2 linked regions of the Callithrix jacchus genome follow. The main gene of each other region encodes a partner of the protein of the gene in region 2 in a complex. Links are inferred from orthologs where the notes say so. Each region holds a gene or a part of one and is shown on either strand. Other genes may lie near its edges.

Region 1 (4,207 bases), on a different chromosome or scaffold from region 2:
AACCCCAGACTCTCATGTCGATTTAAGAGAAGCCTGAGTGTAGACACTGAGTGTAGCCCTCCTCTACCAGCAGAATTTCCAGTTTCCTTTCTCTCCCTCCCTTTCTTTCCTCTTTCTCTCTCTCTCTCTCACTCTCTCTCTCTCTTTTTTTTTTTTTTTTGGACAGAGTCTTACTTGATGGCCCAGGCTAGAGGGCTGTGGCACTAACAGCTCACTGAGGCATCCACCTCCTGGGCTCAAGTGGTCCTCCCGTCTCAAACCCCCAAGTAGCTGGGACTACAGGCAGGTGCCACCACACCCGGCTAATTTTTGTATTTTTGTAAAAACAGGCGTGAGCCACCGTCCCTGGCCCACCAGCAGCGTTTCTACCCATAGACCCAGGCTGACACTTGGAGCGGGCTCTCCTTTCTTTCCTTTCTGCCTAATCACCTGCACACACCCCTCCCACACTCCTGCACACTTCCTCCGAGTCCTCTCCCTGGCCCAAACAATCCTCCTGCTCCCATCCCCCAGTGCCCTGTGTGGAGCTGACCCACAGTAGAAATCAATTTCATAAATCAATATTGATACTACTCCTACTAATCACTACATTTGGTCAGGGTCAGAGCTCTGTGCTAAGCGCTTTACAAAGACGGCCTTATTTAAGCCCCGAGACAGCCGTATGGGGTGGTAAGGGCTGTTAGAAGACCCCATACTCCAGGTGCGTGGCTCACGCCTGTAATCCCAAAACTTTAGTAAGCTGAGGCGACAGATCATGAGGTCAAGAGATCAAGACCGTCCTGACCAACATGGTGAAACCCCGTCTCTACTAAATATACAAAAATTAGCTGGCGCCTGTAGTCCCAGCTACTGGGAAGGCTGAGGTAGGAGAATCGCTTGAATCCAGGAGGTGGAGGATGCGGTGAGCCAAGATCACACCACTGCACTCCAGTCTGGGCAACAAGAGTGAAACTCAGTCTCAAAAAAACAAACAAAAAAAAAGCCCCATACACAGATGGCAAAACTGAGGCTCGCGGCAGGGGACGTTCATGGCTCAAGCTGGTTTTAGAACTCAGGCAGTGGAACTTCCCAGGGCGGCACCCTCCAGCTCCTTCTCCCCAAGGGATGTGATTCACATTCTTTCAGGAGTCAGGGAGTTCCCCACCTTCACCCCAGCAGATACGTTTTGGAAGGGGAGGGCACAGGGGGCAGGGCCCTCTCAGTCCAGGCTTTCTCCCCAGGTCCCTGCTCTCCAATGCAGCACACCTCCTGGGGGGGGGGGGGGAGTGTCTGGGCCAGGGTCAGAGTGCGGGGTAGATCCACCAACCTGCACAGGAGCTCTCGCTCCCGGCACCCTGCTCACAACCATTGTGCAGTGTCCCTCACATGAGAGACAACTGTGTGTGCCACTCAGGGTGAGAGGGCAGCGGAGGGGTGTCAGCATCATGCACCACCTCTCACGGACCCGAGTCCCACACACTCGCTCCCGGCACCCTGCTAACGGCGGAGCCACACGTGTAGGCGCGTGCCTCTAAGTCCCTGCCCCCCTTCCTCTCCCAACTCCCACCCTCCACCTCCCACCCCCATTCCCGCCAGAAACCAGAAGCAACTGGCGGCCTCTGGTCCAGCCGGCAGGCGCAGCCCTTCTTGTGGGTGGGGTGGGGGGTGCGCTCCCTCTCTCCCTGTCCCCACTCGCCCCGCCCCCAGCCCTCGATGTTCAAGGTCAAGGCAGCCAGCGAGCGGGGTTGGGGGAAGGGTGGGGAGGTCGCCCCGGCCCCTTTGTGCGGCGCCGCCGCGGGCGCTCGCCCTCCGCCTCCTCCACCAGGCCCAGGAGGAGGGGGAGGGGAGCGCTGCGCTCGCCTGCGGGGAGGGAGGGCGGGAGCAGCCAAGCGCCTGTCACTGGGAGACCGCTGTCACCGCCTAGGAACTAGGGGTGGGGGTGGGGAGCTCTGGGACCCAGGAGTCCGGGATCCCGAAGAGGAAGCAAGCCCGAGATGGAGAGGGGGAAGGGGAGGGGTGGAGAGCGCGAGGGATGGCAGGGAGAGGGGAGGGTCAGGAGGGTCTAGGCTCGGACCCAGGCGTCCCGGTCCCCAGCCACCGGGCCCGGGAGGAATGCGAACGCTCGGAGGGCCGCGGCCAGGAAGAAAGGGAGGGAATCCCCGGAGACCGAGGGCGCTCCCGGCAGGCACCCCCTTCCCGGGCCGGTCCCGGAGGGGACCAGAGATGCTCCGGTTTGATGTGTATGGGCGGGGAGAGGAAGGGATGCCGCGGTCCATGCTGGCCGTGGGTTCGGGGTTCTAGTTCCCGGAGATCCCAGAAGGAAAAAAGGGAGGCAGCGGGGATGGAACCGTGGACCCCCGACGTCTCAGCTCCCACCCTGCGGCCGCGAGGTCCGGGGTCCCCAGAGAAAGAAGGGGAAAGAGAGAAAGGCGCTTTGATGAGGGGAGAGCGGGTGATGGAAACCCTGGGGACCGAGGTCCGGACTCAGGTGTTCGAGCTTCCAGCCCCGGCCGGGGCAGGCCCGGCACCTCCGGAGATCCTGAGGGAGAGATGGAGGAGAGGGAAACCCCTACCCCCACTCTGGGTGGGGAAACGGCCTCCGCCACCCCCAGCCCGCGCCACATTCCTTCACTGACAGCGACAAAGAAGAGGCGCCCCCGCGACCCTGAAGAGGCTCCCGCCTCCAACCCCAGGGGGCGACAGGGGGTGGCCGACCCCCGGGGCAACGGTTTGCGCTGGGGGCCCCCACTCAACTACGGGTCCGCGCGCTGCGTCCCCCTCCTCAGCCACAGGGCGGGCGGGGGAAGGGCTCCTGGTGGGGGGGTCTGGACAGGGGGCGGGGACGGCGGGGACACTCACGACTTGAGCGGGTTCTGAATGGCGGTAGCCATGGCCCGCTCGGCTGGGCCGCCTCCGGCCCGGGGCGCCGCTGCCGCCGCGCGCGGGCCCAGCCCGGCCTGCGCCGCCCGCTCTGCCGCCCAGCGCGCTACGATTTCATTCATTCTTGGGGCTGCGGCGCGAGCGGAGCGGGGCGGGCCGGGGGCGGGGCTCAGCCAATCCCCGCGCCTCCCAGCGCACGACGGGACGTGGAGTCTAGGGGCGCTCGGCGGCGCCCGAGGGCGCCCCTGCCCAGACTACACGTCCCAGGGGGCGTCAGGAGGACCGCGCTCCCATTGGCTGCTGGGGATACAGGGAGGGGCGGGGCTGCCCCCAGAGCATCTTTCCTCTCTCCCTGGGAGTGCTCCGTCCCCAGCTCGGGATCTCCACCCTCGAGGCACCGCGAGCGCGGGAGCAGGTGGTCCCTAGCTTCTGGATGTCCCCAGGGTATGTGGATGACCCTAGGGTTTTTATCGTGTATTTTTGTCTGGGCCTATTTGGGTTTCTCTTCTATATCAGCGAGCCTGTGAACAAGCACAGGGGTTAATCACGCCTTTGTTCGTTTACTGAGTGGCTGCTATGTTCCAGAAACTCTTCTAGGCACTAAGGATACAGCAATGACCAAAACAAAGTTGCTGCTCTCAAGGAGCTGACGTTCTAGTGGAGAAATACAGATAATAAGAAAATAAAGAGATAAAATCATTTCAGACAGTGAGAGATGCTATGAAAAGAAAATTGGGCCGGGCATGGTGGCCCATGCCTGTAATCCCATCACTTTGGGAGGCCGAGGCAGGTGGATCATCTGAACTCTGGAGCTCAAGACCAGTCTGGGCAACATGGCGAAACCTCATCTCTACCAAAAATACCAAAAATTAGGCGGGTGTGGTGGTGCATGCCTGTAGTCCCAGATACTCAGGAGGCTGAGGTGGGAGGGTCACTTGAGCCTGGGAGGCAGAGGTTGCAGTGAGCCAAGATTGTGCCACCGCACTTCAGTCTGGATGACAGAGTGAGACCTTGTCTCAAAAAAGAAGGGAGAGGGAGAGAGAGAGGAAAAAAAAACAAGAGAAGAGAAGAGGCAGGGCACAGTGGCTCACACCTGTAATCTCAGCACTTTGGGAGGCTAAGGCAGGAGGATTGCTTGAGCCCCAGAGCACGAGACCAGCCTGGGCAACATAATGAGACCCCATCTCTACAAAAAGTTTAAAAATTATCTAGGTGTGGTGATGCATGTCTGCAGTCTCAGCTACTCAGGAGACTGAGGCAAAAAGGTCATTTGAGCCTGAAAGTTGGAGGCAGTAGTGAGCTGTGATCACACCACTGTACTCCACCTAGACAACAGAGAGAGACTGTT
Region 2 (4,340 bases):
GGCACATGCTCAACACACACAAGCATTCAGATGTGCATATGTACACACATGCACACACACGCCAACACATACAGACACACACACCCTCACAGAAGGTGTGTGTGTCAGCTACCCCAAGGTGTCAGAGCTGCTTCTTCGTCTTTGCTACCAAAACTGTGGTGCCAGGAGCCCAGAAGAACCTGGGGTCCAAGCAGTAGAAAATCTTTTGCTAGTCTGGCACTGTGGCTGACACCTGTAATCGCAATGACTCAGGAAGCCAAGGCGAGAGGCTCACTTGAGGCCAGGAGTTCGAGACCAAATTGGACAACATAGTGAGGGTCCGTGTCTTAAAAAAAAAAAAAAAAAAAGGCTGGGCACGGTGGCTCACTCCTGTAATCCCAGCACTTTGGGAGGCCAAGGTCGGCGAATCACGAGGTCAGGAGATCAAGACCATCCTGGCTAACACGGTGAAACCCCGTGTCTACTAAAAATACAAAAAATTAGCACGCGCCTGTAGTCCCAGCTACTTAGGAGGCCGAGACAGGAGAATCACGTGAACACCCAGGAGGCAGAGGTTGCAGTGAGCTGAGATCGCGCCACTGCACTCCAGCCTGGGCGACACAGCAGGAGTCCGTGTCAAAAAAAAAAAGGAAAAAACAGGGAGAGATGGAGACACACTCCTTCTGGTCTCTCTCTCAATCTTCCCTTCCCTCCCTCTCTCAGTGATTCCATTTAGGCCCGGGATTGGCAAAACCGGGCTCACAGCAGCCTGAAGATAGATGACCCTTCTGGGTACTGGAGTTCTCTCCGCAACCCTGCTTTAAAAGGTAAGGGAATAGAGAAGGGACGAGATGGCTCATGCCTATAATTCCAGCACTTTGAGAGGCTGAGGTAGGAGGATTGCTTGAGGCCAGGAGTTAGAGATCAACCTGGGCAACACAGCAAGACCCCATCTCTACAATATATATATATATATATATATATTTTTTTTTTTTTTTTAATTAGCCAGGTGTGCTGGCACCTGCCTGTAATCCCAGCTACTTGGGAGGCTGAAGAAGATCGTTTGAGCTCAGGAGTACGAGACCAGCCTGGGCGAAATAACAAGACCCCATCTCTACCAAAAGAATTAAAATAATAAAACTAAAAAGCAAGGGGGTAAGGACCTCATCAGTCGTCCTACAGAGTCTTGGTCTCCTCCTCTTTCCTGCTCTCTCCTCTCTGCCACGCGTTCCTTAGGAACGGTTAAGTCCCTGCTGGGAGCCCCCTGCCCCATCTCCTCCCGGCCGCCTAACCGGGGACGTCTTTCCCTTTAAAGCAGCGGCCCCCGTCCGGGTCATTGTCTCGCCTGGCAGCCAATCGGCGGCGCCGTTGGGGGCGGGGGATCCGGCTTCCCGATTGGCCGCCTCGCGCCCCGCCCCGCCCGGGATCCCGGGAGCTGTCCGGCCGCCTCGGTGCTGATCCCGCCGCCGCCCACGGGCCGCGAGCCGCGCAGAGGGCACTATGAGCGGCGGCGTCTACGGCGGAGGTGAGCGAGCCTTGGGCCCCGGGCTCCCGCAGCCTTGCGTTCCGAACCCGCGTCATCGATCCGAGCTCTGGGCACCCCGGGGCCTGTCACCTCCGTGCACGAATGGGTCCGGTCCCAGGCTTGGGTCTCCCGCCACTCCTACGCTCGGTCCTCCCTGCACGCCTCGCGCGCACCGGGCCCAACCTCTCTACCTTGCAACCCACCTCCAACTGGTCCCCGGCCCCTTCCTTTCCCGTCTGGAGGGCGACCTGAGCAAGTCCACTGGGCAAGCAGGGACCTGGCGGTGTGATGCCCCTGCCCCCAGTCCCAGGACCTCGGACTCCAGTCCCACCTGCCCCAGACTGGTGATGAAAGTAGTGAGACTGTGGCTCTGCCCTGACTTCCTCTCGGAGCTACCTAGCGGGAGAGAGTTCGGGGGAAGTCCCCTTACAGGCCTGTTTCCCCGCACAGATGAGGTGGGGGCGCTGGTCTTTGACATTGGCTCCTTCTCAGTCCGAGCTGGGTACGCTGGGGAGGACTGCCCCAAGGTGAGCCTTTCAGTCTCCTCCCCAAATTCTAGGGGCTCTGAACCCTTCTTCGGGCTTTCCAGTGACCCAGGGCTCTCCCAGATCGCCCAGAAGCTCTGCTGAGCGGGAATGCGGGAATAAACCCAGGGGCGGGCTGAGGACCCCGCTGTGGGGCTGGACAGGGGCAAGAAGGTGACCCCTCTCCCTGCCGATCCTCCCCCAACCCTTCCCCACCAGGCTGACTTCCCCACCACGGTGGGGCTGCTGGCCGCGGAGGAGGGGGGCGGGCTGGAGCTGGAGGGGGACAAAGAGAAGAAAGGGAAGATCTTTCACATCGACACCAATGCCCTGCACGTGCCTCGGGATGGAGCAGAGGTCATGTCGCCCCTGAAGAATGGCATGAGTAAGGGGCCCTCACCCATCACCTCCTGACACAGACAGGGAGCTCACTCTCCATGATCTGGGACATAGCAGCCCCAACTCCCCAAGGATTCTTCCTTGCAGTCCCAGGGTTCTTCTCACTGCCTCCCTGAGCTGCCTGGTTCCCATCCCAGGGGCCCATCAGGTTTCTGGGAAGGAGGGTGTTCCCCTGGAGCTGGACTCACTGACCCTCCTTTGGACTTGGCCTTCCTCCCTCCTTTTCCTCCTGTCCCTGACCCTTGCCTGCCCTCTTGCGTCTCTGTGCTGCTCTTCTGGCCCCAGTTGAGGATTGGGAGTGCTTCCGAGCCATCCTGGATCACACCTACAGCAAACATGTCAAGTCTGAGCCAAACCTGCACCCAGTGCTCATGTCCGAGGCTCCGGTGAGTGCCTACTCCATACCTCCACGTCCGGCCCTGATCTCCACCGAACCTCATTCCCACCATCCACCTCTCCTCTCCCCTCAAGCCACCACTCTCAGCCACTTGACCTCCCTTTTCCATCTTCACCACTTTCTTTCCTTCCTAGCTGTCTCCAGCCCTCCTGCTCTTTTCCTGCTCTATCTTACTCTGCTGCCCTTCTCCGTCTCCAAGTCCTTTTTAAATTTTTAATCTTTTGAGACAGAGTCTCACTCTGTTGCCCAGGCTGGAGTGCAATCACGAGATCTCAGCCTGTGTCTCCTGGGTTCAAGGAATTATCTTGCCTAAACCTGCCAAGTGGCTGGGATTACTGGCACCCGCCACCATGCCTAATTTTTGTATTTTTACAAAAAATTCGCCAGGTGTGATGGCGGGCGCCGGTAGACATTTTTTAAATGTTCTTACCTGCCTCCTTATATTTCCCCCTGTATAAAAGCAACTGTTTTTCTCCCTTTTGAGCTAATTTTTGGAGTATTTTCTTTCATATCTCTAATATCACACTTAAATTGCAGCCTGTGGAGTTTTTTGTTTTAGGTATTATCTATGAATTTTCCACTTTAGAAAATGGTCGCTTAGCTCTCTTTTCCTCCCCAGCCTATACCACACAGATTTCTCATCACCCACCTTTAAGTACAGTGGCTTCTGTTGTTGTGGTTGTTTGGGGTTGTGTTGTTTGTTTTTGAGACAGGCTCTTACTTTGTCACACAGGCTGGAGTGCAGCAGCACGATTCTGCAGCCTTTACCTCCTCAGCTCAAGTGACCCTCTCATTTCAGCCTCCGGAGAAGCTGGAACTACAGACATGAGCCACCACGCCCAGCTGATTTTTACATTTTTTGTAGAGGCAGGGTTTCACCATGTTGTCCAGGCTGGTCTGGAATTTCTGGGTCTTGAATTCAAGCAACCTGCCTGCCTCAGCCTCCCAAATTGCTGAGATTACAGGTGAGATCCACCGCATCCAGACCAGTTGTATTTTAGACTTTAAAAGAAATCAGGGCCAGGCGCGGTGGCTCAAGCCTGTAATCCCAGCACTTCGGGAGGCCGAGGCGGGTGGATCACGAGGTCAAGAGATCAAGACCATCCTGGTTAACATGGTGAAACCCCATCTCTTCTAAAAATACAAAAAAAAAAAATTAGCTGGGCATGGTGGCACATGCCTGTAATCCCAGCTACTCAGGAGGCTGAGGCAGGAGAATTGCCTGAACCCAGGAGGCAGAGGTTGCGGTGAGCCAAGATTGCACCATTGCACTCCAGCCTGGGTAACAAGAGCAAAACTCCATCTCAAAATAAAATAAAATAAAAATAAATAAAAGAAATCAGTATTCAGTATTTAGACTCTTTTTAAATTAGAGATAATTTTAAGAGAATAGTTTGTAAAGATGGGATCTCGTTATATTGCCCAGGCTGGCTTCAAACTCCTGTGCTTAAGCAATCCTTCTACCTCAATTTACAAATTGCTGGAAGTACAGGCATGAGTCACTGTGCCCAGCCCA

The links. Proteins that work in one complex are often made in the same cells at the same time.
Region 1: ACTL6B (region 2) and DPF1 share a complex: the UniProt entries of both Homo sapiens proteins name them as parts of the neuron-specific chromatin remodeling complex. The link is inferred for Callithrix jacchus from reciprocal best matches to the Homo sapiens genes ACTL6B and DPF1.

What each region holds. Positions count from the first base shown.
Region 1 is NC_133523.1:33,814,927-33,819,133, forward strand, and holds the start of DPF1 (zinc finger protein neuro-d4), read right to left. Parts: upstream 2,976-4,207; 5' UTR 2,871-2,975; coding exon 2,839-2,870; intron 1-2,838. UniProt on the Homo sapiens protein: May have an important role in developing neurons by participating in regulation of cell survival, possibly as a neurospecific transcription factor. Belongs to the neuron-specific chromatin remodeling complex (nBAF complex).
Region 2 is NC_133503.1:13,071,685-13,076,024, forward strand, and holds the start of ACTL6B (actin-like protein 6B), read left to right. Parts: upstream 1-1,397; 5' UTR 1,398-1,479; coding exon 1,480-1,504; intron 1,505-1,954; coding exon 1,955-2,031; intron 2,032-2,247; coding exon 2,248-2,413; intron 2,414-2,712; coding exon 2,713-2,813; intron 2,814-4,340. UniProt on the Homo sapiens protein: Involved in transcriptional activation and repression of select genes by chromatin remodeling (alteration of DNA-nucleosome topology).